2 linked regions of the Xenopus tropicalis genome follow. The protein of the gene in region 2 interacts with the protein of the main gene of each other region in a biochemical or structural test. Links are inferred from orthologs where the notes say so. Each region holds a gene or a part of one and is shown on either strand. Other genes may lie near its edges. The genes, in order: sbds and efl1.

Region 1 (16,006 bases), on a different chromosome or scaffold from region 2:
TAGGCAAGTATGTTTAGTAATTAGCACTTTAAAATAGTTTGTGTGCTGGTTAGCAGGGCTGTGGATATGTATAGAATCTGCTGATTAGCACATAAAGCACAGAATCTCTGTTTCCATATCTATTTCTTCCCATTCTTGTGCTATGTAAAATAGACCACACATGGGGAAAAAAAAATCAAATAAATAAAGTTTATATTTTCATTTTTGTAACTTTTTCTGCTTTAAAGTGCAGAAACCAATAAAAAATTCTTGGCAAATCATGACATATTTTGTTAAACAAAATGTCTGACAACTATAAAGGAGTTAAAAGTCTTTTAAATGAGAAATAAAACTTAGAAATGAATTAGGCTACAAATGCTATACCTTATCTTTTGGGCTTCTGTACCAGCCAAAAGTCATTACAGGACTGTGTCTGTAATGATATGAAGATATTCCCTGTAGATCCCTAGTTTTTGCTGCTGATTTACAGCACATACTCTGTGCTTGGGCTGCGGAACTTCTGGGCTGGCACAGTAAGTTTAAAATATAACATATAACATTTCTAGAAATATTCAGTTTAGTTGTTATTTAATAACTTTGAGGACGCTAAAGCAAGTGCGTTGGTCTTCACTCAAACTTCTCATCACCTTCTTCTACATCTTTCAGACTGAGAACTTCAAGAGTGCCTTTTCCCTTAGTCTCACAGCGTATTAACTCATCAATTTCTCTGAAGCAGCCAGGATCAATTAAGCAAACCTAAAATGTAGTATAAAAAGCAAATAAATTATAAGATGAAGAAATGGTAATAAACAGAAATCTATTTTTGTCAACAGAGAATCCTTATAAAAAAAAATTGAGGATTTCTTAATGCTGTTGGTATGCACATTTATTGTTGTGCAGAATAAAAATTAAAAAGCCCAGATATGACCCAGAAAAGATAATTATGTGTTTCATGCTTTCTAGTTCTAAATAATATACATGATTATTTGCTGGAAAGCATAAAATATGCGTAAAGCATGCATAAGACTATGATCGTTTCTGGATCTATGCTTTTCAATCACTGACTAATAAAATTTTAAAGTGAGGATTCCTTTTTTTAGCCGTTCACTAGGCATTTTTTAGCACTCAAACATTTTTATAATGTGGAAGACTCTCTCCAAACTATTGTTTTTGATGTATAGATTAAGGACAGCATTTAGCAACTACTGAGTTTTCTGCAGGCCTTGCTATTAGTAAGATAATCGTGTCGTAGGATTGCCCCAAGATGCCCTTCCAACTCTGTTTGGAAAGTAGAAAGAAAAAAGTTCTGACCTCTCAGATGAGTTTTCCCCTAATCCTAAAACTTACAGGACAATGGCAGAAAGTATGAGGGTAACCGTATCATTTATATAGTGCTTTTACAGCAGATGATAGGGTACATCAGTGCTGTCCAACTTCTGTTGTACCGAGGGCCGGAATTTTTCCGACCTACGTGGTGGAGGGCCGATAATGGAAGCCAGTTTTGACCACTCCCCTTTTTGAAACCGCACCCACTTGAAACCACACCCATGTTATCACATGACCGTACCCATATTAATGGTTGTAGTACAGCAAAAACCTGCCCTACTCTGCCTGCCCTACCCGGCCGGTGTGTGCCCTACTCTGCCTGCCCTACCCGGCCGGTGTGTGCCCTACTCTGCCTGCCCTACCCGGCCGGTGTGTGCCCTACCCGGCCGGTGTGTGCCCTACCCGGCCGGTGTGTGCCCTACCCGGCCGGTGTGTGCCCTACCCGGCCGGTGTGTGCCCTACCCGGCCGGTGTGTGCCCTACCCGGCCGGTGTGTGCCCTACCCGGCCGGTGTGTGCCCTACCCTGCCTGTGTGTGCCCTACCCTGCCTGTGTGTGCCCTACCCTGCCTGTGTGTGCCCTACCCTGCCTGTGTGTGCCCTACCCTGCCTGTGTGTGCCCTACCCTGCCTGTGTGTGCCATACCCTGCCTGTGTGTGCCATACCCTGCCTGTGTGTGCCATACCCTGCCTGTGTGTGCCATACCCTGCCTGTGTGTGGTGTGCCATACCCTGCCTGTGTGTGCCATACCCTGCCTGTGTGTGCCATACCCTGCCTGTGTGTGCCATACTCTGCCTGTGTGTGCCATACTCTGCCTGTGTGTGCCATACTCTGCCTGTGTGTGCCATACTCTGCCTGTGTGTGCCATACTCTGCCTGTGTGTGCCATACTCTGCCTTCCCTACCCTGCCTGTGTGTGCCATACTCTGCTTGCCCTATGATGACTGTGTGTATGGCACACACAGGCAGCCTACAGTGACACAATGCTGGCACTGCTCCTACAGTCTGCACAATAACTATATATTAAAAAACTTTTTAATTGAAGTACCACCTCAGTATATGTTCTTTTTGTAGTATGCAGGGATTATTTGTGGGTTTCTACTGCTCCTGAGGTGTGAACAGGGGAACAATATGGGTGATTACAGCCTGAGCCTGAGGTGTGAACACTGCAGGGGGTGAACAATGCAGAGATTAAAAGGTGTGAACAACACAGGGGATTACATATTTAAACAATACAGCCTGATTACAGCCTGAATCTAAGGTGAGAACCATGCAGGGGGCCATTTAATCTCAGTACTGATACCATTTAAAGCTTACACAAGAGTAAGCCATCAAAGCAGCCAGACAGGTGGGGGGCCACACAGAGGGGGGTCGCGGGCCGCCAGTTGGACAGCACTGGGGTACATGTAAGAGAGAGTGGGTCATAACATGGTCTATAAGCTGGTGGCAAAATGACATGTCAAAAGGCATGTCCTATTAAAAAGCTAAATCCCTTCTAGAAGAGGTAATTCAAATCATTGCTTTGCAACAATAATTGTGCATAATAACTTCTGTGATGTCTTCCATGCTTTAAGCTTACAATGTCACTTCTCTTTACTCCACCTTATAGACATATGATTTTCATCTGCAAATCTGTCATCTCATTCCCCAAATTACTTTAGGCATGCTTTTATTGTATAACTGTTTTTAAGATTAGCATATCAGTAAAGAGATATATTCCAAATATTTAAAAGAAAATGTTACTTACAATTTCCAGCTCTTGATCAAAGTTCTCACTCTCTGTGTGCTTTATTAAAGGCTTCAGTTTCTCTTTCAATTTCTTTCCATCCTTAGCTGGTAAAATGAATCGCAGTCTCATGTGGGCACGTTCAATCTGCATTGTTTCTTTCAGCTGCTTGATAACATCTAATGCCTGCAGTGTACACATAACCATCAAAATAATACTATTAAAGTTATACTGTCATGAGAAAACATGCACTGTGTTTATAATATATATAAAAAAATGTAGGAAGAGGATCGCTTGTTTGCAGCTACCCCGGGGCTGGTGCGATTTTCTCCTAACAGGAGCACCAACCCAGGTTATAATGTAAGCGAGTACAATCACTTCTTCATTCCCTTCTCCGTGCTATTTTTTTTGCTAGTTGTTTGTTGCGGGTTACTGCCAGAGACATAGGTTGTAAGGTCCTGGACTAATTTGGCACTAATAGGATTAAATAGCAGGCAGAACACATTTTTAATACAAGCTTTATTTATAAGGCTCATGCTGAGCATGGTGGTATATTGCACATTAAAGTAGAACTCCCATTTTAAGTTTTTCGGGGGACCAAAAAAGGGAAAAAAATTGTCAGGAAAATAAATTATGCATTTCATATTGGCAGGACCATAAAAAATTGTGTTAAATGAGGAAAAACTAAAGATCAGGGTATGTAAAATTGAGGTTTCACTGTACTGTGTACTAATTATAGAAACAATCCCTAACTAAATCAAACCTTACTAAATAACAGTGATAGTGTTCCTCTGACATCTATGGAGCACACATTTACTAAGCAACATAGCACCTGTAATCAATTATTTTCACCCAAGACTTTGCTTACTTGGTGTTAAATGAAGGTAACATTGTCTTTAACAGAAATACAATATTTATAAACTTTAAAACGACAATAACTTCTTCCCCTCTCTCTTTCTAAGAATTTTATTTTGATAATACTTTTCCATTCAGGATGCATGAATAAAAGATATCACAATTTTTACATAGATAATTTGTGTTCTTCTTCTAATAATTTCAAAACTACCGAGATCTCCGAAGGATTACCAGTAGTAAATATTTTTACCTGTTGCTTGGTGCTCTTGGTTGCTTTCACCGAGTAGTGAATATCTTTCATTGCTCGTTCAATAAGGTTAACAGTGTAAGGCCTCTTTGTCTCTGGATTTACACATTTGTCAGCCACAATTGTTGCAATATCTCGAAACATCTGTTCTAATTGCGTGCTCCGCTCTTTTTCTGAAACTTGAAGTTCTCCTTTAGATAAAATCTAAAAAAAAATAAAAATATATGCATTAAAGATATTTTTTATAATCACAAAACAAAAAAAAAGGGAGGGAAAAAAAGCAAATTGGACGTAATGTCACACAAAACTACCAAAATGGGCTGGACAAAATTATTGGCACCCTTTCAAAATTGTGGATAAATAAGATTGTTAAACTCACCTGGGGCAAGTAACAGGTGTGGGCAATATAAAAATCACACCTGAAAGCAGACAAAAAGGAGAGAAGTTCACTTAGTCTTTGCACTGTGTGTCCTTGTGTGCCACACTAAGCATGGACAACAGAACGAGGAACAAAGAACTGAGGACTGAGGACTTGAGAACCAAAATTGTGGAAAAATATCAACAATCTCAAGGTTACAAGTCCATCTCCAGAGATCTAGATTTGCCTTTGTCCACAGTGCGCAACATTATCAAGAAGTTTGCAACCCATGGCACTGTAGCTAATCTTCCTGGGCGTGGATGGACGAGAAAAATTGATGAAAGGTTGCAACACAGGATAGCCCAGATGGTGGATAAGCAGCCCCAAACAAGTTCCAAAGAAATTCAAGCTGTCCTGCAGACTCAGGGAGCATCAGTGTCAGCGCAAACTATCAATCGACATTTAAATGAAACGCTATGGCAGGAGACCCAGGAGGACCCCACTGCTGACACAGAGATATAAAAAAGCAAGAAGCTGGAGAGTCCTGAAGTGGCCAGCAATGAGTCCAGATCTAAATCCCATTGAACATCTGTGGAGAGATCTTAAAATTGCTGTCGGGAAAAGGTGCCCTTCCAATAAGAGAGACCTGGAGCAGTTTGCAAAGGAAGAGTGGTCCGAAATTCCCGGTGAGAGGTGTAAGAAGCTTATTGATGGTTATAGGAAGCGACTGATTTCAGGTATTTTTTCCAAAGGGTGTGCAACCAAATATTAAGTTAAGGGTGCCAATAATTTTGTCCAGCCCATTTTTGGAGTTTTGTATGACATTATGTCCAATTTGCTTTTTTACTCCCTTTTCTGTTCTGTTCTGTTCCAATACACCCAAAAAGGGAATTAACATGTGTATTGCAAAACATGTGTTACTGCAATACTTTTCTGTGAGAAATACTTGATTTTCTGGAAAAATGTCTGGGGTGCCAACAATTTGGGCCATGACTCAACAGCCTTCATATTCTGTAGATGGATATCAGTCAGTTTGAATGCACAGTCAGCACCATGAGGGTAAAGTGCAACACAGGATGAAGTCTACAATGGACATCAGTATTAAATCCAGTGGAGTAGAACACCAACAAACCCACTCAGAGCTATTCAGTCTGTAACAAATCTTAAATGTATAAGACCATATTAGATAACTCAGCTATAAACTGCAATTAAAGAGTCCAGGGAAAGGAACATCTATGACACAGGCAAGTGGAATCGAATTTTGATCATTATAAATTTATGAGCAGATAAAAATACAGTTATAGACTTTACTACTAATCATAATTTATTTTCTTCACTAATTTTACTAACCTGCTTACAGATTTCTGTCGGGTCTTCAGTGCCAAATGATTTGAGAAGATCTTCTTTTTTAGCTACTTGGCCTTTAGATACATTCATAAATACAGAGTGGGTTTGCAATACTTCATCAAGATCTTTTTCACTGCAAACAAATAATATACATGTAAGCTTCGAGTATTCATAAAACTCCTCTACCCTTTTTCATATGGTTAGGGCTTCAGACAAAAACTTGTCCTTTAAAGTGATAAAGCCTTTTATTTTTGTCTGTAAGTTACCCACCCACTTAATGGGGAAGGGAACCTCCTTTCTCTTGTATCTTAATAATCAGCACTTAATCATTAATATACACTGTAATTGTATTGTTTCCTGCTTGTTCTATTACTTTATTCTTTATCATGTACAACAGCTCTACATCCCCTTCCCTCCTACCAGTGCACACCTCAGTGAGAAGTGGGGCAAATGTTGCAGAGAGCTGCTTTGTATTTAATGGCTTACACTGTAATAACATCATGGACTAACATTTAGTACAAATTGCTTAAGTGATACTGACACTAAAAAAACACTCTTCAAAACATTAAAGGGGTAAGTCACCTTTAAGCTAATTTTTAGTGTTATAGAATAACCTATTCTAAGCAACTTTTCAATTGGTCTTCATAATTTATTTGTTATAGTTTTAGAATTATTTGCATTCTTCTTCCAACTTTTTAAATGGCGGTCACTGACCCCCAAAGCCAAAAAACTATTGCTCTGTGTTACTTTTTGTAACTTTCTTTTCTATTCAGGCCCTCTCCTATGTAACAGTCTCTCATCCAAACCACTTCCTGGTTGCTAAAGTAACTTGGACCCTAGCAACCAAATAAATGCTGAAATTTCAAACTGGAGAGCCTTTGAATTGAAAATGAAATAACTAAAAAAACATTAAGCTGCCTATACACAGGCAGATCCGCTCGCTTGGCAACAACCTACGGGTGGTTGATATCGGGTAACATGTAGGTGAATTCGATCGTTTGGCCCAGGGGCCAAACGATCAAATTCTAACGGCGGCAATGGGGCAGTCGGTTCGGGGGCCGCATCAACGAGCCGATGCGGTCCCTGATCCGATTGAATTTTCTAACCTGGCCGATCGATATCTGGCCAATTTCAGAACAGATATCGGTCGGCCAGGCCCCTCGTTTCTGCCCCTACATGGGCCAATAAGCTGCTGAATCGGTCCAAGGGACCGATATCGGCAGCTACAATCAGCCAGTGTATGGGGACCTTTATAGCTTCTAATGCTAATGGACTTCTGCTGCACAAATATGACAGCCTCCTCATAGAGAAACATGGGGGATCAGGTATGGAATAAAAAAGCATTTGGCAGAGACTTTTAAAGGAGAAAAAAAGGCTAAGTCACTTGGGGGTGCCAAAATGTTAGGCACCCCCAAGTGGCTTTAATCGCCTACCTTTTAGCCCGGGCTGGTGCCCCTGTTAGGAGAAAACCGCACCAGCCCGGGGTAGCTGTGAGCGTGGTCTCCTCTTCCTTCTTTGCGCGCTTGCGCATGCGCAGTAGAGTGAAAAGCCGAACTTTAACAAAAAAGTCAGCTTTTCGCTCTACTGCGGTTTTCTCCTAACAGGGGTACCAGCTTGGGGTACAAGGTAAGCGATTAAAGTCACTTGGGGGTGCCTAATATTTTGGCACCCCAAGCCTTTCCTTCTTTAAGGTAAAATTATAAATAGCATGCAAAGACAATGTTATGAAAGCCATAAAAAAGAAGGCTCAGAAACCTTTTAATTTATAATGTTGCAGTTAAGCAAATATTCTAAATGTAAAAGCCAAATATAAAAGTACAAAGTCAAGCCTCTTAACCTAAACCACAACACACCATGACAAACCGTAGGCATCTGCCAGGCAGGCAGAAACTATAGCAAGCTCTCCCTCAAATCAGTCCAAGTAACATTTACCGCTGTAACACAAGCAGGTAATAAATACTCACGCCCCACTTCTCCAGCTCATGACTTTGTTTTTGTAGCAGGCAATCTCAAATCGCTTTCCTCCTTTCTTCATGCGCACCACAGCGACATTGGTAAGGCGAATCTGGTTGGTTGGGGTAAAGATGGACATTTTGCCTGTAAACGTCTCACCCCACGAAAGCTGTTTTCAGACAAATGTAACAAAGTACTGAAAACGCACAAACAAAATTTCAGTTTTCCCACACGCTAGTTTCTGGCGCAGCAGGAGTTGCACATGCGCAGAGAATGTTTCCCTTAGCGGAAGTGCTTATCAGGGTCTGTGCGCACTCTGAGCTTGGCAGCAAGTTGTTGCTTCTAAACATTGTCAATAAAGTTCGTTTGGTACTACGGCAAGGAAAAACAGTGTATAAGGCATGACACTTAAGAAACAAATATGGCTGCCCCCAGCGAGGCATGAGTGTGTGTCTGTGACCGTGTAAACTACTGCATGTTGTGACAGGATCTTACGTGCCTTCCGTCGTTTCTTTTAGAATGACACAGACTCTGATTTTGGGAATTCTCCCACAAGCAGCTTTTGTGGCCGCACAACAAGTTGATACGGGTGAGTACGAATATAGCTGAGGCCTCCCGGTGTCGTAGTTTGGGCATCTTGTTAAAAGTCGTCAGCTGAGGGGAAGAAGTACTTTTACTAAAAAGTACACTGTTTTTAGCACAACCTACGATTCCTAAAAATGACAGATTTTGTGTACTTCCACTCCTGTAGTAACAAGAGTTTTGAATAATCAAGAGAAATGTCAGAAAGAGAAATGTCAGAATGTTATTGTATACTTGAATAATACAACTGATTTGGAAAACCCCATGACTTCTAATTTCCAATACGGTTTATGTGTAGAATTGACTTGTATTTAAAGATTTAAAATCACCACACCAGATATAAGCACACTTTAGGTTGTGAGGCTAAAAAGGTCATAATTGTTTTTTCAAATTTATGAAAATTGACTGAATACTTTAAATGTTCTGCATATTATCTGCCACATATCCTTATTACAAATCATAAATCTGAATGCAACGGGTCTTGCGAACATATTGTGGCATGTAGCTGGCTCAAAACAAAAATAGTGCATACAAACTTTGATGAATGACGTTTCAAGTACAAGAAAATAAAAAACCTCCTGCTTATTGAATGTGGTAAAATTGTTTAAGTAGTGGTGTAGTTACCATACAGTGACTTTGTGACCAGGGTTCCATTGGAGAGGTGGGGCCAGACCACAGGGTCTGCTCTGTGGTGCCATATCATACTGACTTGTGCCTTGAGCCTCTTCAACATTTTTTCCAAAAAATAGTTACTAAGGGGTTGATTCACTAAAGTGCGTTAAAACGAGCGCTATTTTTATAGCATGCGGTAAAAATTTTATCGCTTCTTATATTTTGGGACTTAATGCACGATGAGCATTTTTTCTTGCGTTATTTTCTGCTGCGCATGATGTATTTCGGCGCTTGCTATATTAGCATGTGATTTTACGCACGTAACCATTACTTTCGGAAAACTACTGTTCTGAAAATGACCATTTCCCTGAAAACTGGAGGCTGCATCAGTCTAGGGCCAACACATACTTGAAAAAATCCCAGTGCAAAGTCCATGTTGTGTTGCCAAAAGCTCACGAACCACAATTTTCTTTAAGTACCGCCTGCCCCAAGTAGGTGTTAATCTTCGCACAGACTTATGCAATATTTAGCTCATTTAACGCTTCATATGTATTTGTGAATCATGCGTTAGGATTATTTCTACGTGCGAATTAACGCAATGCAGGAAAAATAATGCATTGCAGTAGCGCGTGATCTAACGTGTGCAAAATTACTTTGACGAATCGGGCGTTATTTATCGCATGCTTTTTAATGCAAAAAAGCATGCGATAAGCGTTATCGCACTTTAGTGAATCAACCCCTAAGTGCACAAGTTGTGCATGTGGTGGTTGGGAGCGTGTTACGAGTGATGGAGCAGTTTATCTAAGGTGGTGCTAGGGTGGCCCTGCAGTGTATTTAGTGTCCCAGCTAGTCAAAATTGCCATTTGAACATTTTTTTGGAAAAAAATACTGTATCCAGTATTTTTATTTTTAAAATGTGTCTGAGTACACTTGTCAAACCATGTTTTCTGTGTATAAGTCAGCCCACCTACCAAAATAAAGTGTATTTCACTTTCCTGGGTGCAGGAAGGAGAAGCTGGTTGGCAATTAGATCCTATATGCTGTCATGTAGCCCAAGATGGTGGAACCGGGAGAGGCTTAGTAAGCAAAGTAAACAGGTCTGTGGGGATCATAAATTCTACATTGTATGGCACTGTGTGGTGCCTAAAGTGCTAAATATTTAAAGTATGTGTATGCTAACTCTTACCCACTATGAAAACATACTTGGGATAAAAGAAGGAAGATACTGGGGCCTGTGTCCTGCCAGTAAGACCAAAGGCACATGACAATAGTAGATGCTTTGGCTTGACACCTGAAATTTTTTTTAGTAGATTTGTTGTGCCAAATTGCCCAAAAATGTTTTTCTGTTTTGGAAATGTGACCATTATAACAGCCAGTGGGAACAATTTGATGCCACCCCCTGAGCTATTCAAAAATTATAGTTTCTAGCATAGCCCTAATTTTATGCCAAGGAAATGAAGAAAAAGAATAAAACCTTAATTTTCCACGCACCAGACATTTAACCCTGCTGATAATAGTGAAACAGCACATCTGCCATTAAGGGCTCTGGCACACGGGGAGATTAGTCGCCTGCGACAAATCTCCCTGTTCGCAGGCGACTAATCTCCTCGAATTGCCATCCCACCGGCGACAATGTAAGTCGCTGGTGGTATGGCACATGCTGCGCAGGCGATTTCGCCAAATCACTGAAGTTGCCTCGCAAGGCATTTTCGGCAATTTGCCGAAATCGCGCCGCCGCATGTGCCATCCCACCGGCGACTTACATTGTCGCCGGTGGGATAACAACTGATGGCAACTCGGGGAGATTTGTCGCGGGCAACTGATCTCCCCGTGTGCCAGAGCCCTTAGGCAGATTAAGGTTACAAAGAAACTCAGGGTTGAAGAAAACATTAGTGGTTTGTAAGGCGGGGTAAGAGACCATGTTGAGACCCAGTGAGAGACTTCTTTTATTTAAACAACGGGGATCCAGAAATCCTGATCACACATATAACACATTTGTGGATGTGTATCATTGCTCCAGCAAAGGAGGTGTCTGAAGACCTTGGAAAAAAAGTTGTTGATGCCCATAAAACTGGAAAAGTTTGCAAGACTATCTCTAAAGAATTTGGACTTTGTCAGTCAACAGTCTGATTGTGTACAAATGGAGAAGACCGTTGTTGCCCTACCCAGAAGTGGTTGACCATCAAAGACACATTTAAGGCATCATATTTTTGTTTCATTTGTTTAACTAGGTTTTCTTCATCTACTTTTAGGACTTGTTTGAAAATCGGATGATGTTTTAGGTCACATGCATATAAAAATATAGAAAATTTAAAGTGGACCTGTCACCTAGGCATAAAAATCTGTATAATAAAAGCCCCTTTCAAATTCATTATGAACCCCAAACTCATTTTTTTATTAACACATCCATACCCGTTATAAAAGCATTTAAAAATCCCAACTGTCAATCATATTTTGCCTGCCCCGCCTCTATGCCTTAGGCATAGAGGTGGGACTGGCAGTTACTTTCACTTTCAATTCAGAACTTCTTAGGATGTTGCTGCACTCCTCACATTCCCCCTCCCTTCTCACAATGTAATTTTGTAACCAGTGCATGGACATGGGCACCAGGTCCCCCCATATTGCCACAGAAATAAGATTTTGACAGGATGTAAAGCTTCCCTTAATAACAGTGTCCACAAAATGGTGCCTGCCTGCTTGCTGCAATTCCTGTGAATTCCAAGGATGAAGAAAATAAGATTAAACTAATTTATATGGTGTAAGTGCAGTTTACTTTGCTTGACAAACACAATTGAAAACAATCTGGAATTATTTCTTAGGGTGACAGGTCCCCTTTAAAAGGGTTCAAAAACTTTCAAGCAGCACTGTATATACATAAAAACATTCTGTATGCACTTGTAAATAATGGTACAATGGAACATTAAATGCTTACACACCCAGTGTTACAACAAAAAATACATTTGTTGGTTCAAGAATACAATTTTAAATAGTAGAATGAATTATTTCCAATGTACACAGTGTAATTTGGCAATAAAAACTAGAATCCTTTAACAAAAATAATCTGGTTGTTCATTAGGTTTTTCTTTGCATTTCATACAGCACGTTGATACATTGTTTACTATGTCTTTTTTTTTTTTTTTGTCTTTTTAAGATATGTCTACAAACGCATGGGATTTTGCCTATACACATCTGATGTTTTTGTGGCTGAACAGGTTTTACATATACTCATGTGCTGCTATTGGTATCACTGTTTGGTTCTGCAGCCATTTTATCACAGCTAGAAAAAAGCAGCAGGTAATTATAAAATGTGATTTGTTGGCAGCATTGACAACTTTTTGTCATTTAGTTATTGTGTTATTTTTAAGATATCTTGTACATCATTTTAAAAACTTCTGCCTTGGTTTAAGAATTCAAGGTCTGGAGAACAAATTATGAAATTGGAGTATCTTACGACCATGGAAGACTTAACATTTTACAACTCCCCATTATGATTGTCACAAGATTAAACTGTCCCTTAATATCAATTAATACCAATTCCCTTTGAAAAAAATTTTAAGCTTTGTGGATCATTTCGAACTACGTTTATTTAAATTTTTTTACTTTAATTACAGTTGAATTTTCTGCCTTCTGTGTTGTAATCATATGGCTCTCTGTTATGCCTGTAATTTGTCTGATTGCCTGGGCTAATGGCACTTAGCAACTAGAAAGCAGTCACTTATTTATCCTTTATTTACATCACTGATTGCCAGAATGATTGTGACCCTATCAACCAATTATGTTTACATTGCATGCATTTTTAAAAAATGAAGCAGAACTGCAAATTCTTATACAATCACTAAAGGTTAATTTATTTTAGTAAATGTATAAAATAAATTTTGTGCTAAAAGGCTTGCATGTCCTATTGATTAGGCGGGAAAGATTTGAGGGGGAAAGAGAGCAACAAAAACCCCTAGGTTCTATTAATCTAAATCTGAAGTAAAAAAAAAAAGTCCATTAAATTAAGCCAGCCTTGGTCTATGCAAACTATGAATAATAGTGTTCCTACTGCAGTTGCTTGCGTGAAATTAACATACATAGTGATTCCTATTAACTATGAACAAACCAATTTAAGAAAATTCCTAGCTTTTATTGTTATTTCTCTGCAAATTCTTTAAGGGCAAAACATGTCACAAAAAGCCTTGTGTTTCATAAGTCTTAGCCTAAATTAATGTACTGAACAAACCCAATGCAGTATCATTTAGGACAGTGCTGTCCAACTTCTACGGTGCCGAGGGCCGGAATTTCTCTAGCATACATGGTGGAGGGCCGCTAATGGAAGCCAGTTTTGACCACTCCCCTTTTTGAAACCACACCCACTTCAAACCACACCTATTTTATCACAATGGTGGTAGCACAGCAAAATCCCAAATGCTTGGTCCTTACTGTGGGGATATCAACCATCATTCATATGTGAAAGAATTATGTCATATTAAGATATACCCTTAAATTCCATATGCCTCCTCCTCCCCTGTGGATAGCAGAGCAACCCCCAGTACATAATTACACACCTTTGGGACCATTTAATGGCAATTTCCAACTGCTAACAAACTCCCACAACAAACCCCTGCCAGGTTCACCTCCCACAAGCAGCATAGGGCAAGCAGAGTATGGCACACACAGGCAGCACACTGCCTGTCCTATGCTGTCTGTGTGCCATACTCTGCCTGTGTGTGCCATACTCTGTCTTCCCTATGCTGCCTCTGTGTGCCATACTTTGCCTGCCCTACCCTGCCTGTGTGTGCCATACTCTGCCTACCCTGACTGTGTGCACCATACTCTGCCTGCCTACCCTTCCTGTGTGTGCCATACCCTCCCTGACCTATGCTGCCTGTGTGTGCCATACTCTACCTGCCCTATGCTGGCTGTATGTGCCAAACTCTGCCTGCCCTATGCTGCCTGTGTGTGCCATACTCTACCTGCCCTATGCTGGCTGTATGTGCCATACTCTGCCTACAGTACCTATGTCTGAGGTGTGAAGAAGTGAACAATGGGAGTGATTACAGTCTGAGCCTGAGGTGTGAACAATGCAGACATTAAAAGGTGTGAAAAACACAGGGGATTGCATTTTTAAACAATACAGAGGGATTACAGCCTGAATCTGAGGTGAGAACCATGCAGGGGGCCAGTTAATCTCAGTACTGATACCATTTAATGCTTACTCAAAGGTAAGCCATCAAAGCAGCCAGACAGGTGGGGGGCCACACAGAGGGGGGCCGCCAGTTGGACAGCACTGATTTAGGAGATCTGTCCTTAAAGGAGAAGGAATGGCATTTTGTCATTTTATTGCCAATGGATTAGCCTGTGTGACTGCAAGACTGTGATTGGCTATCCCCCTCCTGCTGTGCTTCTGGCAGGGACTGTGTTTCATTTAAAACACAGACCAGGACCTGAGAGGATCTATAGGGAGCTCCAATAAATGGGCAATTTTTGCAGACAGTATTCAATTTTAGCCCAAAGTGAAACCAGCACCATATATTATTCATAATTGCCAACAAGTTTAGTTTCCCCAATCTGTCTGGTAATGTTTAACACTTTTGTTTTCTAAGAATGAAAATGTTCACAATGGTTCTCTGCCACTGAAGACAAAAACCTTAAAAAGCTACAATTCACCATCTATTAAGGAGCAAGATGTGTATGTTGCTGGTGTGAAAATTTTCTATGGCTCTCAAACAGGCACTGCCAAGGTAGGGTTTATTGCTTTATTCTAAAATGCTCTTAAGTTGTGTGTGCTTTGGCCTTAATCTTGATGTTTACTAAATTGTTTATGTTATACCTTTAGGGTTTTGCACATATGCTGGATGGAGAAATCACTCTTCTTGGGCTGCCAGTGGAAATTATTAACATGAAAGAATATGATCCAGATGACAACTTAATAGAAGAAGTATGACTTTGTCCATTTTACTAAAATATTCTATTGTTCGGTTAAAGTGTTTCTTAACAGCTCTGTTACATTAACATGACAGGTATACTTTGATTTCCTAGCTTTGTGACATGCAGTTCATATGAAGTGTGAGTTACAAGTCTTAATATTTTCAGGGAAAATATATATGAAAGTTATGTATGGAACATACACTTTGGCCTTAAAATTGTAGCCAGGGTCACAAATGATTGTCACTAGTGGGATAATCCACTAGGTTAGCTCATAACCTGGCTAGTGATCCATGAACTATATCCATGCCAAACATAAGCCAACAAGACATATTTAACAGTGTTGTACATTTAATAGGGGTATACACTGAACAAACAGATTACATACAATAATTAACAGCCATTAAAAAAGGAGCAAAGAGGGACTTTCACAAAAGAGCTTACAATCTAAGAACAGCTGAAGGACATTTTAACATTGAAATTGATAACCTTCTTATTTAGTTGTATTTTCACAGTCAAATCTATTCTACACTGGAGTAATATTTTTTTTCTTTTTTTAGGCCACCAGTAAAAACGTTTGTGTGTTTCTGGTAGCCACCTACACTGATGGACAGCCGCCTGAAAGTGCAGAATGGTTCTGTAAGTGGCTTGAGGAGGCCTCCAATGACTTTAGATTTGGAAAAACCTATCTTAAAGGCATGAGATATGCTGTATTTGGACTCGGAAACTCTGTATACAGCACGCATTATAACACGGTATGTTTATTTTTTCACTTTTTGTTATGTTGATATGTGTTTCTAGAATGTTCTCTGTACAAGCTCTGTCTTCATCCTTCCTTTTTCTTCCTGTTCCTTTTTATAGTCACAGCGTGCATCGTGGCTTATAATATCCATATTTTAAACATCTTGGTAGACATGGTTCCATAGTTGTTCTACTTTGCTGCTACTTTTTAAAACACCCAATTTTGCTACTACATACAGTTGTGCTTGAAAGTTTGTGAACTATATTTTTATATAAATGCCTAGGCCCAGATGCAGCAAAACAGGCCCAAACCAGAACACTCCCACCACCATTTTTTACAGATGGGATAAGGTTCTTATGCTGTAATGCAGTGTTTT
Region 2 (15,242 bases):
TGTTGATGTTACAGGGCTGATTATTAAATTCTGATGCTAATTTCACTGGTTTCAGAGCTGCCCTGTTATTAGAACATGAATAAATTACTAATCTAATAACTAAGCCTTATATTGTGACATTTCTATTCTATATATACAGTATATTGTGCGTCGGTCCCTACGCTCAGTTACTGAAAGCAGCACAGAGCATATGCAGTGAATCGGCACTACACACGGGAACTACTGGGGCATATTTGGAGGCACAGATCTTCCCTGCTAAAGGCTGGTACAGAAGCAAGAAACATAATGGATAGCCTTTATGTCCTACTTCTTGGTTAAGCTTTATTCTCCTTAAAGAGACAGACTTACCCTTAACTCAATATGAATGGTTATTTTTATTTTTTTTTTTTAAACCAGAATATCATCCATTTCTGAACCTGCCCAAAGTGCAATCCTGTGCAAACCACCTATGATTGATAAGGTGGGTAAAAGGGTAAAGTAGAGCCCAAAACATGGTAAAATTAGCTTTCTTCAAATATTATATACATTAGGTAACCCTCTGTGCAATTTGTTTTTGTAATTCACATTAAATGTAACAATATTATGGTAATTGCTTCCCAGGGTGCATTTTATTTTAACACGTGCTTTTGGCTCTGTATAGCTAGAGATCACACAGTTGTGACTGTCAGGTGCCATTTATCTCACATGTGTGCCAGACACGCTGCCATTCCCACTGATAGTGTGACTTGAGCCGCAATGATTCCTGCTCCAACCATTTGTCTGCCAAAATATCCCCATTCCCATAAGCACATTTGGTACTGTGCCGTCTAGCTGCTTGTGAGCTAGATTGTTTGGCTTGTATGTGCTACAGCAAATATACTGCACCCATTGTTATAACTGTTTAGTAATTTTCAGTGCAGCTGTATATGAGGTCCCATCACTGATTTGTTACTACAAAGCGAGCTTACATATTTTGGCAAAAGTGTGGTACGAACACCTGTAAATTATTCTTCTCTAACCCTTAAAGCTACAGCATATTCCTTTACCCTGATTTAGAAGCAATTTTTGCTTGCCTTTTTTTGCAGGACCTACACTTGTTACTTAAACATTAGATTAAGTGAGTGTCCTAAATTAACTTTAGTTACAAGGCAGCATTTGCTTCAAAAGCACAATAAATAAATATAAAGAGAATGAAATCATTGTTTTTAAGTAAAAGGGAGCCGCCAGTGGATATTTATACTCCAGCCAGACATTCTTTATCTTCAGTTTGTGTTACTCCTTATGATGAATGCATTACAAAATCATGAGATAAAGAATATTTTGGGGAATTTTAATGACATGCACTTTGAGGTTTGCAATCTACCAAGTGAACCTTGGAGAGACAGCTCAGAGCCTGCCAGATAGTGCGCTTTCAGAAGGAAGAATTTAAAAGAAAGGCTGATGAAGAGTGTTTGCCTTGGGCCTTTAAGTTCACAGTGAAAAATGCATTTTCCATGCAGTAATGTAACAGAATGGCTTCTTTTGCACTTGAAAAAAGATAAAAAGATATTTCTTTTTGGTCAATTAAGATTTAATGGAAGAACAGGATTTTTTAAGTGTAACACAGCAGCTTTCTCAGTTTGTCTGCATATTTCATTAGCACTGCATCAAGCATCAAGGCTGTGTTTTATATAACAGAACAGACATGTCAAACCTGCAGCTATCCGGCTGTGGTTGAACGGTACCTCCCAGTGCATACAGCTGATAAGCATGGGTTGGGGAGTGAACATAGACTTAACTGGAAATGGGTGCATAATGCCAGGAGTACTTGCTTACTGGTAAGTGCCATTATAAACTAGCACAAAGCCCGTTAGAGCCCACAGGCTGAGCCCTAGACGACGTTACTACTGCATCATTTTAAAACTGGACATGTATGGTATTTACATGCTGAATGTTTGATCAGTAAGTGATTTAGATGGAGGGCACCTTTGAAATGTCTGACTTTGCCAATTTATAAATGACAAAGATAAGAATACAACCTTTTTAAGTGCTTGTCTGTAAATAAAGGCAGAATACATATTTATTGTTTATAGAGGTGAGATTTCACTGCAAAGGACAGAAACAGAAACCTGTGTTTTAACCTTCCCCCATCATAAAAATGATGGGCTACAAAGGGACTTAGGAGTATTTGTTAAATTCTTCACACACATAATGTTAGGAATTGTTCTGCAAACCCGCAAATCTATGGTTTTTTCTGTTTGCATATTTCACAATGTCCATTTCTGAGCACAGAGACCTGCAGATGTTCCATGAATACAGTGTTTGCCTGCATTTTGTACCTTTTATACTCATGAGGAATTGGAGTGGGGAGACGCAAGTAGGCAACCCCCTCCCCACCCCCAACTGCAGGGGTGCTGCTGCCATAAGGCAAGTTGAGAAACTCACCTAAGGTGGCAGCACCCCCAAAGTCACCAGGAGGGACAAAAAGCTGCTCCTGGTAACTTTCAAGTTAGCAAATGCAGGCCACAGTGGGGCCCTGTCCCCAGAAGGCAGAAGGTAGTGACAGAAACTCACCTAAGGTGGCAGCACCCCCAATGTCACCAGGAGTGACAAAAAGCTGCTCCTAGTAACATTCAAGTTAGCAAATGCAGGCCACAGTGGGGCCCTCTTCCCCGAGGGCAGAAGGTAGTGACAGAAACTCACCTAAGGTGGCAGCACCCCCAATGTCACCAGGAGTGAAAAAAAGCTGCTCCTGGTAACATTCAAGTTAGCAAATGCAGGCCACAGCGGGGCCCTCTTCCCCATAGGCAGAAGGTAGTGATAGAAACTCACCTAAGGTGGCAGCACCCCCAATGTCACCAGGAGTGACAAAAAGCTGCTCCTGGTAACTTTCAAGTAAGCAAATGCAGGCCACAGTTGGGTCCTGTCCACAGAGAAGGTAGTGACAGGCTGGGGCAAAAGTGCTCTCTAAAAGAGTGTGCTCTTGTCCCCCTTGCTCCCCTGGATCTTGTAAATGACCCACATAATGTCAAAGTGCATGCCAAGCCTCTAGGCTTACTATGTAGTTGGTGGCCAAGGGTTAATCTTTTTTTTTCTCTAACACCACAGGTATATTTAATAGTTAATTCTGTTTAATTTTGGATTTACTCAATGAAATACCGGGATGCTCCCAACAGATTGTGTGCTGTCAGGTACACAACTGATATTACTGATTGGCTTACCTACAGTAATACTGCACCAGGCATTGCTCATCCATTACAAAAACTCAGCCCATTTATGAATTTATAACCTGTTTGAAGCTTGCAACATAAATATGAATGGAGGGATACATAATTATAACTATTATAAATGCAGCAGCATGTATTGGCAGACGACTTAAAAAAATATATATCCATCAAGTTCTGTCAACCTTTTGTCCCAGTGAAACCTGTCTAATTTAATAGCAGTGGAAAGCCTGAAGCAGAAATTTGCTTGGGGTCAAGGATGCTAAACTTAGAAGTTTTTTAATTATATCTAGTATGTTTTTAGGAGTGGTTTCAGTCAACCTAGCCTGATCTACACAGCTCAGTGACAAGGCCTGACATAAGCTTGATGCCTCAAGTGATTCTGATTTATCTGCTCAGTAAGGCACCCATCATCAGAACTTGCTTCAAAGGAAAAAGCTGCACATCCCCATGATTCCATTTTTTAGGGGGGATTACAGTTATTACACAGAGACCCTGTCACATAGCTGTATCACTGACAATATGTTCATAACAACTCACATTTCAGTCAGGATCCCTACTCACCTAACACTTCAGCAGTTGCCATTATTTCACACGTGTACATGGCAGCCATGAGTCTCTGGGGTTTAACTTGGAATGCATAACGACAAGCTTCCTTCATAGTGGCTATAAGTTGTCCAGAAAAAGGCCCATAGCAATCTGTCAATAAGTCACCTTTTCGTTTGCTGAAAGGTCTTGCACCATTTTCAGGAATTAACTCTGTTTCCTCAGTGGCTGATGTTGAGATATTATTGATTAAGGCCCCAGTTGTCCCAGTTGTCCCAGTTTCACTATGTTCTGGCTCTGTTCTGGTATCCACTTCTGAATCTTGGCTAGCACTATCTTTAGCAAGCAAAGGCCTGCTCAGATCCAGCTTTTCCACAATAAAGCACACACCCATTAGTGGTTCCTCGCACATGGGGCCAGCAAGAGTTGCTAGCTGAAATCCACTAACAATGCTGTTGTCAAAATTTCTATATTTCCCCTCTCTAATACTTTTTTCAAGGCACTGCCAAACTGATGGCCTGTCATAACCTTCAATTCGGTTCAATAAGATATTTGGGCCATAACGTCTTGGGCCAAAGGACCATATCTGGTCCACAGCATTCCTCCACCTTCTTCCTTGCAGGAGTTGCTGGAGATTACTTTTGAATGCGGTTATCCTTTCAATGGCTGACTCATTAAAATGAATGGTGTAGCTACCTTCATTTAAAGCCATATTTATTTGCTCCATTGTTCTTATTAAATCACTGTTTTTTTCCAGAAGCTGCGTCACTTCTTCTGGAAGGGGCATGGCCCTGACACTCAGTGTAGCTAGCTTATTTGGTGTAGTCAAGGTGACTAAGCCATCAGGGTCAACCTGGACTCCTTCAGGACACTTGCTCTGCTCTTCTTTGACTTGATGTATGACCGCAATCTTCTGTTGCTTTCCAATCTCTTCATTCACCATATCAACTTTAGGTGGCCTTATGATAGTTTCTCTAAACGGTATTATAGGAGCAGACGAACTGACCTGAATCTTAGCAAACCTAAACAGGCAGAAAAGGAAAAATAACTGAGTGAGAATATATCTTTGCTAGACATAGCATACAGTATTGTGACTCCAACCAAGCAGAAATTTAATGTAGCAATAATACTTATATATGTACTGCTAAGACAAAACAATTACTAGCACAATATTTTAGCAGTGCATACATTATTACAACTCTGTTCTTCAAAAAAGCTGGGACACTGTGTAAAATAGAAATAAAAAGAGAATGGGATGATTTGCCCTATATAATTGCAAATAGTACAAAGACAACATATTACATGCTGAAACTGAGAAATGTTATTTTCTGAAAATGATATGCTTGTTTCTAAAAAAGTTGGGACATGGGCATGTTTCCTGCTGTGTTGCATCACTTCTCCTATTAACAGCCCTCTGTAACATGTGGGAACTGAGGAGACCAATTGGGCCCAAAAAAGGAGGCAGTGTTTCTGGATCACGTTTATATATGGTTTCTTCTTTGCATGGAGTTGTAACTTACATGTGTGGATTCTGAAGTATTCCTGAGCCCATGCAGTGATTCCCACTACAGAATTGAATCTGTTTTTATGCAGTGCCACCTGAGGGCACACAGACCATGTCTATGTCTCTTGTGCACAGAGATTTGTTAGGATTCTCTGAATCTTTTAACCTTCCTGACTCCTTGCTCCGCCCCCCAGCGTGACATCACACGCTCCCTACATGTCAATCCTGGTTTGCAGAGCTACGGTGTACATTTGATCATTGGGATCTATGGAACATGCACTATTTGTATAAAAACTGAAAAAGTAAGTTTTATACTTTTATCAGCTAGGTTACTCCATTTAAAATACAGAGCTTTGATTTCTTAGAACCCGGGGCAAAGAATTAAAAGACAGAAATTATTCTTTCAAGTGATTTTATCACGCATAGAAAATTATGTTGAATAAATTGCTTTTTGTATAAACTAATAATATACATACTTGTATAGAATTACATCAGATATTGTCTATGTCACTATGCAGAGGTGCTGATAGTGAAGGTTCATTTAGGTTTGCTATTTTGCATGGCCTATTTAGAGGGCACTGTGCATTATAAGCATACAGTCTCTTTTGAATCTCTCAGCATTCCTATTGATGGTCTCCAGAAGATGGGCCTGACTATATTAGAAGTAAAGTGCACAAAGTGATCTGGTCACTACAGATTGTCTCATGGGACAGACTTTAGTGACTTCTACTGTATTTGTTCAGTAAGATTGACAGATCCTGATTTTATTGATATTTATTTTGATTATTGAATCTTAGCAGAAGCTGCTGCATTTCCCCCCCTAGGCTTATACTCGAGTCAATAGGTTTTTCCAGTTTTCTTAGGTAAAATTAGGTCCCTCGGCTTATATTCGGATCGGCTTATACTCGAGTATATACGGTATGTACTGTAGATGATGAAGTCCCAGAATTCTTTAGAATTTAACATTGAGGAACATTATTCTTAAATTGTTAAAATATTTGTCCATGCAGTCTTTCACAGAGTGGGGTCCCCCTCCCCATCTTTACTTGCTCTTTTTATTATATAACATTTTCAGTCTTTTCATGCCCTTTTTTGAAATGTGTTGTTGACATCAAATTCAAAATGAGCACATATTTTTTAGAAAGCAATAAAATTCCTGAGTTTCAACATTTGATATGTTGTATTTGTATTCAGTGCAATTAAATATAGGGTTTAAATTATCTGCAAATTATCCCATTCTCTATTTATACTTTACAGAGTGTCCTAACTTTTTTGAAAACAGGGTTGTACAGTTAGAAAAGGTATGATCTGGTTTATCTCTAAATCATTAAGCATCACAAAGAGAACAGAAGGATGGGATATAAGTAGGAAAAAGCCCAAACATTATTAGCAAATGGAAATCTTACTGCAAAAGGCCAAATGACTGCACAATTTGCAAACATCTGTGCCAATATCGGGATGGTCAGCCTTACTTTAAACTTTCAAGTTGCATTCTTAAAGAACCAAAACAGAGTGAAATTTCAGGAAATAATCTCCCCCTGCACAAGGAATATTCCCAGCACCTGCTATGCCTTTGAGGAAAGGAACCTGACACTCCTGTTTCAGACTGATGGATGAGGTTGGTTACACTTGGTGCTGCATCACATTTCACTAAGATCAGTTTAAGTGGTCTAGCTCCTAACAAAAGTGGCTGTGAAATGAACTAAAAGCTAAACTGCTAGTTATGAAGCAGTGACCAGCTAATGCACTAAATTCTAAATGGGAAACAAAATGTGCATTTTGGAACATGCCCCAACTAGTTTCCTAAGCCTAGTACTATTTGAAAGAAATATTGTGATGGGCTGCTTTTAGAATGTAACCGTATTCAAACACAACAAGAGGCGTGAAAATTGACCCTTAATATTTTCTGTAGTAATTCTAGGCTAATTAGGGTAGCAGGAAGATATGGAAGTGTGTTTAGACAGATTTAATTGAGTTATTGGCAAGTGAGGAAGACATTCATTTTCTTTAAATTGGACATCTTATAATACAGTATGTTCATTTAATTTATTAGCAGCCTGGGAAAGTAATTATTCTTGCAGGTAATTGTAAACACAAAAACAGAGTGATAATGAAACTACAATAAGATTTAATAAATGATGTGGTAGAAAAGGCCTTTGTTTAAACTAGAGCCTCCTAATGAGTTGGGGGGCTTAAAAATGCCTATTTATTATGCTGTGTAAAATGAAATTCGCTGAAAAACGGTGTTAAAAGCTGTGCTAAATAAACAGAGAAGTTTGCAGTCTGAACATTAGATTTTCCGCCATTATTTCACGTAAGTTCTGGCAGAAGAAAAAAATTATGATGTGTAGAGACCCATTTTTTACACTACATAAAAAAAATCTGCCCCTTACTGTGTGGCCAACATGGAAGCTACAGTTACTAACATTGTATAAGTACAGTCCATTGTTTAAAAGTATATACATGAATGAATATAGATGGATAGATAGATGTCATTAAGCAAAACAGTTAATCAAAGACATAACAGAATTCCAAACCATGACCCTCCTAACCCGAAGAAAACAGTAACAAATCTATTTTGCCCTAGCAAATTAAAATAGCTAGCAAGCAATTCGGAGTCTCTAACACGTGCTAACAATTTGTATGCATAGCAGAGGAATGATCAGAAGCAACTGTGTTAAATGGAAAAGTGTTGTCAAAAAGGAATTAGGCCTTTGTAACTGAATCCGCAGACACTTTGGAAGCTTGGTTAGTGTTGGGGAGGGGCTGGCTTAAATACTGTCCTGGGTAAAATGACAAATGATATTGTTTAATAAACAATATGTATTTTTCATATTTCTATCAGTGATGTCCAACTAAAACTCCCTCTGCAAAGGGAAAATATTACAGTAACCAACATAAATTAGTGAGGATTCAAGGCCAGTTACTATCTGATTACAGAAATATATGTATTTTTCAACCTCTCTCTTAAATCATCCAAGCAGCGCTGTAGGTGAACTTCTCCAGCAGTGATCAGGACATGCTCTCCAGTTTCTTGTATTAAAACCTCCACGCAAGGGTCAGCCTGGTTTAAAAGCTTCATTCCTTTTACCAGCTGGGGCATTTCACCTAGAAAAAATACATAATGGTGGGGGGGGGGGGGGGGTTTAATCATGTATTACATTTCATATGGAGTACATATCATTATTCAGAAAATCCTTGTCCCATAGAGCTCTAAATTGGATGCTTGGATGACCCAGTCTAACTTTCTCAGGCAACAGATACAGTATATAAAATATTTATATATATATCGCCCCAGCCAGTGCAAGACAGAGAACTTTTTATGTCATCTTATTCAGTGTGCTGGAACTTTCACCAATTGCTATTCAGCTGTTTCTAAACTGCAGTCAATATTCAATAACTAGTAATTACTTAGCTCATAAAGTTGCCCCTTGCTCTGTACATGTCACTGCCTGTGTTTAGTAGGAGTGAGATACAGTTGGCACATGAGTGTCCCAGGCACAGTGCAGTCTTGCATGTAAACCACTATGGCACTGTCACTATAGCAACGAGATGCTTTTAGTGAATCTGGAGACCTTTAGACACTAACACATACAATAAGACCTAACACATAAAGACTTAATTGCATATGTATGAGGCGGTCTCCTCAACTCTTTTGACTTCTTTGTGAATCCCCACTCCTGGCTCTACCTAAGCTGATCAGAAAACCCTGCGCTACACTGATGAGCCCCAAGAAGGGCAAAACCAGTTTGTAGTTGGGAATCTGATCAGCTATTATCCTGGCTTTTGCTTTAAAAACCCAGTGGGTGAGCGTTAGCTTATAGGATAAACCCATGTTAATGGGATTTTTCTAGGAGCCTAAAGGAATTTGTTCCCAGAATCCCTTTGACTTATTTGCATACGTATCAGGCGGTCTCCTCAACCCTTTTGACTTGAACATAACATAACACCAGTATAACACATAATACAGTTATGGGACCAGTTATCCAGAATGCTCGGGACCTGGAGTTTTTTGGATAAGGGGTCTTTCTGTAATTTGGATCTTTATACCTTAAATCTACTAAAAAATATTTTAGACCTTAAATAAACCCAATAGGATTGTTTTGCCTCCAATAAGGATTAATTATACCTTAGTTGGGATCAAGTACAAGGTACTGATTTTTATCACAAAGAAAAAGGAAATATGTTTTAAAACTTTGAATTATTTTATTATAATGGGGAGATGACCTTCCCATAATTCGGACATTTTTGGACGGGTTTCCGGATTCTATACCTGTAACACATAATAACACTACCACAGACAATAAGGTCAGTTGCCTTACATCTATGCTGTTCAGCTTTGTACATGTATTGGGTTGATTATTTCTCATACTGCATGTTCATGGGACAATTATATTAAAGTGATGGTGTCATGCAAATATGTTTAACGAGCATGACGAGAGTCACAACCCACCCATGGGTCTTCCATACATCATCACTTACTTATATTAATCCAATAAGGTGTACATTCTCTTTGCTTGACAACTACAGTATATTAAACAGATTTTACATTTTCAGCTTTCATTCATTTAACTGTTTTGGATCAGATATGTTTCCACTTTCTCTTCCACTCCATTGTGAGCACAAAAACACCTTGTTTAGAATTTAGAGCAAGCCAGCAAGTAATTGGAAGTGGAAGCAGCTGGCATGAATGTGCCCATGGTGAATAGTACTTAGCAGGTATTAAGTAGCCCCGGGATTAGATTCACTCCAGAAACTAATAGCATTCCCTCTTGAAGGGGAACTGAGGTTGAAGTGGATTTGGAGAAAGAAACAGGAGCTGAACACCTAACAGTATCAATAATGTAGAGAAAAGACTGACAAGAGTTAGCATGAGGCTGGCTAGCATAGGGAAGGAGATTAGTCATATAAAAGGATTTGGGATGATAAAAGAGTGGGAGGGAGAAACATTCATAAATGTTTAGCTGTGTAAATTAAACATTTAGTGTTTGAAACATTATTTAATAAAGTAAAATCTACTCAGGTTCCACCACTTTATCCAGTATATAAAATTGCGCTTGTGCTAGGCCTTTACCTACTCTAATGAGTGCATTATTACATTGTGCTAAGTACAATCATAATGTTCACATAAAATAAATAATTATTATTATAATATTATTATAATAATATTATTATAATAATTATTATAATATTTTAATAACCCATTTGATTTAAAGGGGATATACTGTGTAAAAAATAAGATGACGTTGGCGCATTATACTCCTCTAAATATATAGGGAATGTGCCGAGAAAAGCTGCGTTTCAGGCTGATCTACAGAAAACCATTTTAATATGCTGAAATCCAGCTGCAAAACAGTTCTTCTCTTCCTGCATCATTTGAAATCCTGGAAGGGAAGGAGGGCCTAAAACATTGATGTTACAAATTGTAACAACTTTACAGCTTACAGACAGCAGGCAGAAACTACATAAACCACAATGCACTGCACTGTCCTTATCGACATCACGTGTGCAGGGGATTGTGAGATCTGGAGGATGCAGGCTGAAGGCAGGCTGAGGTCAACTACTGTTACATTTTTTTGAGCCTTAAAGGACATGTAAAGCCTACATTTGCCTACAATGTATATCAGCTCGGCACGTCTCCCCCACCCAAATGGCATAATTTGTACTGCATATTTCCCCTCCATTTGCCAGCACCATCACATTTTCCTAAACCAAATAGCAGCTTTCACCCGGTGGCCATTTTTTCTCTGATACATAATCAGTTACGTTTAAATCTGCAAACAGCATACACACACAGACCCTTATTAAGCATACATTTCATCAAGGATAAAGAGGCTCACACAGGCACAACTGTCTCTGATAAAAGTTCTGCTTTGTTTGAGCACTGTAATGATAAAGCTGAGCTCAGGAGAAAAAAAATTGAAGCAGACAGCTAGAGCTGAGTTTCTATGGGAACCAGCAATGGCATCTCTTCACTGGCTGCTATACTGGGGGTGTGTTTAGTAATGTGAGCTTAGAACAACTGAGCATGCCCACAAGCCAACAGCCAAAGCAAATTCCTGAGGGAGGGGTGCGAGTGGGTTACAGGAGGAGAAGCAAATCCAAGTGATTAAGGAGATGTCACAGCCTTACTATTAACCTCTGAACAACCAGAGTGGCAGGTATTGAAAGATTTTAAAGAGGCTGTTCACTGATTCAATTTTTGTGTGGGGGGTTTACATGTCCTTTAAGTAGTCAGCCAGATCAGCAGGATAACAGGGGGCCAGGCTTAGGTAACTGTTTAAAACCATATTATTACAACACAAATCATGAAAAGGCTGCATTTTTTAAATTGTTGTATATTGCAAAGTTGCTAGAAATTATGTTAACTTTTCAAAAGCTTAAGTTGCGTTTGAGTTCCCCTAATAATTTTTAGCTAAAATGCCAGAAATCTTGTTTGCATTTAAGTAAAACAAAAGTAATACAAACTTTAGGGAGGCTGATTATATATAGTATTTGAACTACACTATATAGATAAGGGTATCTGAGCACCTGCCTTTTCCATTCCAAAACTAATGGTATTAGTATATGATTGGTCTTCTCCTTCCTACTCTTACACCTTAGGGAAGGCTTTGCACCAAATTCTGGGACATTTCTGGCAGTATTTGCTTTCGTTCAGGACACAATCATTATTAGAATGAACACTGATGATGTAGATCAGGCCGGGCTCAGAGTCAGAGTTCCAAATTATCCAACAAGTGTTCAGCTGGGTTGATGGCTGGGGCTCTGTGCAGGCCAGTCAAGTTCTTACTCTCCAAGCTTTGCAAACCCATTCTGTATGGACTTTATTTTGTGAAACAGGAAAGACCTTCCCCAAATAGTTGCCACAAAGCAAAAACACAGAATTGTTACGCATCGTTACACATTTAGGAAGGCAGTGTTCTCCTGGCATCTGCCAAACACAGAATTGTCCATGAAAGGGCCAAATGTGGAAGCATGTGCGATTCATCACTCCAGAGAATGCACAGATATTTCGAAAATAGTTCTATGATACATGCTTGCCCAAACCTGATGTGGACACCAGAAGATGGTGGCACAGCACTGGCTAACCAGTAAGTAGAATCACTAATTGGGGGCTCCCCACAGTAATTTGACCTTTCATAGTATAGTACTGTATATAACCACAGCAGTTTCACTCCTCTTCACTTAAGTCATGGTTAAATCGTTCTGCATCTAAAACTTTGCGGATATCCAGCTCTCTCAAATCTCAATACCCAACATCTATGTGCATATCCTTTTGAGGCCTAAAATGACACTGACATATTTTGTCAGCTCTTACAGCCTTCTGATAAAAGAGTCTGCAGACTCTCTTTCATGTTGGTTACTCTAAAGAAATCTGACACTTCCATAAATCATATTTCATACCATAAAATTCAGTTTATAGTTCATATTTCCATAAAGCCATGTCATAATCTCTTCCCCCTCACTCTTTAATACAAAGAATCTAAAATGTGTTCTTTCTCAGGTTTCATTGCAAAAGTGAATGAAGAGACCTGTAGTGCACCTTCTGTTCCTCATCAAACAGCTTCTGGCACTTGCATATCAGTCTAACATGGGAAGGTCAGAAGCTATTTTAGTTGAGAAAGTAAAAAGAAAAAAAAACTGCTTTATTAAAAAAACAAAGTATTTTTTTTTCTACTTAGATTGGTATTTAGTGGTAAGTGCAACACAGCTGCCCTGGGAAGCATGGGGTTGCAGTATGTAGGTTGCAGACATACCAGCATGTAGTATATGGGCAGATGAAAACTGATCTGAAAGCCACTATAATGTGACACAGTAACTAGCCTGGCAACACAGGAACAGATTAAAGCTCCTGATTGTGGCATAGCGTGACTAGGCAGAGGGAAGCATGCACAGGCAGAAACAGGGTATAGACATAGATTTAAAGGGAGTCAGTGCAAAGTAAGAGAATCTGGTGCTGAGGGTCCATAAGCGTGAAGACAACTTACTTGGATGCTTTGGTTCAACAGCTACCCGGACAATTGGAGTTGCTTCAAAATTAAGAGGAATAAAGGGTGGACAAGCTGGTGAAGTGGACAGTGTTGCTGACTTTAGAACAAATTCTTCCAAACCTCCAATACCTAAGAAATAAAAAAAAATTAAAATAAGAAAAAAAGGTTAATTAAAGTGGATGGAACAGGCAAAAAAGTAAAGTAAGTTAAATTTGAATAAGGTTACAATTATGGCATATACAGTGGTGCTTAAAAGTTTCTGAACCCTTTATTTTCTATATTATTTCCTTTGTTGCCAAGATTAGTCGCCCACAGGGTAGCAAAGATCTGTCTTGGGCGACTAATCTCTCTGTGGGACATTACCCTTAAAGGAATATAGGTATAAATTCTGAATTTATAATAATACAGAACTTACTATACCAGCCAAGCAGGCCAATAACAATAATGATCTAGGCCTTTAGGCTAATGCCCTATGGAGGGATTAGTCGCCCGTGCTAGCAGAGATTTATCACAGGCGACTCACAATTTCATCCATGGTCTGCTGCTTTCTATATTCTAATAAGTTGGGAGCTATATGTGGGTATGGTGCCTTTAGAGGAATAAAACTGTTTTAGTATGGGAGGTTGAGAGTTTCTCAATCATATGGATATATCTCTGCTATAGTAGTGAATTATTATATGTAATCTGGCAGCTTTCCATACTTTTTATTAATGTTATATCATCTGTTGACTTAGAAGGCTTAGGTGACTTTAGAAGAAATGCAGAAGCAAGTTTTTGTCAACCAGGACCATCCTACATTGTACTGCTAGTGTGTCAAACATAATAAGGATTTCTTCCACTAGCTGTTTAAATTCACCCCATCCCTTAAAAAAAAAAAAAAAAGGAAAAAAAATCAAGATAGAACATTTTTAAATGCCTGCCATGCATAGAAATCTTTGCCTGTTAAAGTAGTAGGGAAATTCCATTCAAATCTACTAAAAGTTTTGGAATGTTATACAGGGTACAAGTACAAGCAAAACAAATGTGAAAAGGTTTTGGTAATTGCATTAAATGGAATGTACTGAGCACATGGAGTCACACAATTTAATGGGCCATTAGCAAAGAAAAGCTCTTGCTACACTATAATGTGGTGATTTCTAGAAAATGCCTCCTCCCCAAGGAGTTATCTCTAGCTGCCCATATAGCAGATGGATGCTAAAGAAGTACCTGAAGACAAACAAACACACTCTCATGACAAGTGAAGGATAACAGTAAGCTGGCACCAAGGCAATGCAATGAAAATGTTTTTCTGTGGGTTTCCCATTATAAAAGGCAGCATTAAAAAAAAAAAAAACAAACACAAGTGTTGTGCGAGCCCAGAGCAATTTCATAAGGTTTCAGCATGCAAGTCTCCACAGATTTTGTAAAGTAAAATAATGCTATTGGGCATAAAGCATGTGCTTCCATGACTTCCAACAGTTCCATCGCCTGTATCTCATGGCAAACGATGAAACAATGATGCCGTACCATTAAACCCAGCTACTTCTGGGCAGGGGCATAGGTGGGGGTTCCATTAAGAAACAGACTGAAAGCAGTGCACTATACCTCCCATATAATGTCACTTCATTGAGCCACACATAGCAAAGTAAAATCCCAAAACCAAAATCTTTATGACATTGAATTTTAAAATTCATTGCTAGCATTGCCATGAAGTAAGGCTTTTATGCTAATGACTTTTTAATGGGAAATTAAATTGTTGTAATTGATACAGCTAACACTGTGGGAACTTACTGGCAGTGAATGAAGGGCCTGTAGTGTGTGGCACATCTGCATTTCATTCTCTGTGAGCATTACATTTACATTTTCTGCACTAGCATGGTGAATTCAATTAGACACACGCCTGCTGATTTATAGCCCATGCTAAATTTATACCTACAAATTGCAATCATTGTGGCAGCTCAGGTATGAATTATGTTTAAATATAATCCGTTTTCATTGATTTTGCACTTTATTTTCTACTAGCATAAAACTGGCCAAATC

The links.
Region 1: the proteins of efl1 (region 2) and sbds interact in a biophysical measurement, tested with the Homo sapiens proteins (2 studies listed by BioGRID and IntAct, with this or other methods). The link is inferred for Xenopus tropicalis from reciprocal best matches to the Homo sapiens genes EFL1 and SBDS.

The regions. Positions count from the first base shown.
Region 1 is NC_030678.2:98,226,713-98,242,718, forward strand, and holds the start of sbds (ribosome maturation protein SBDS), read right to left. Parts: upstream 8,016-16,006; 5' UTR 7,927-8,015; coding exon 7,799-7,926; intron 5,968-7,798; coding exon 5,838-5,967; intron 4,334-5,837; coding exon 4,133-4,333; intron 3,214-4,132; coding exon 3,049-3,213; intron 736-3,048; coding exon 607-735; 3' UTR 1-606. UniProt on the Homo sapiens protein: Required for the assembly of mature ribosomes and ribosome biogenesis.
Region 2 is NC_030679.2:106,108,746-106,123,987, reverse strand, and holds part of efl1 (elongation factor-like GTPase 1), read right to left. Parts: intron 13,353-15,242; coding exon 13,221-13,352; intron 8,341-13,220; coding exon 8,193-8,340; intron 4,751-8,192; coding exon 3,747-4,750; intron 1-3,746. UniProt on the Homo sapiens protein: GTPase involved in the biogenesis of the 60S ribosomal subunit and translational activation of ribosomes.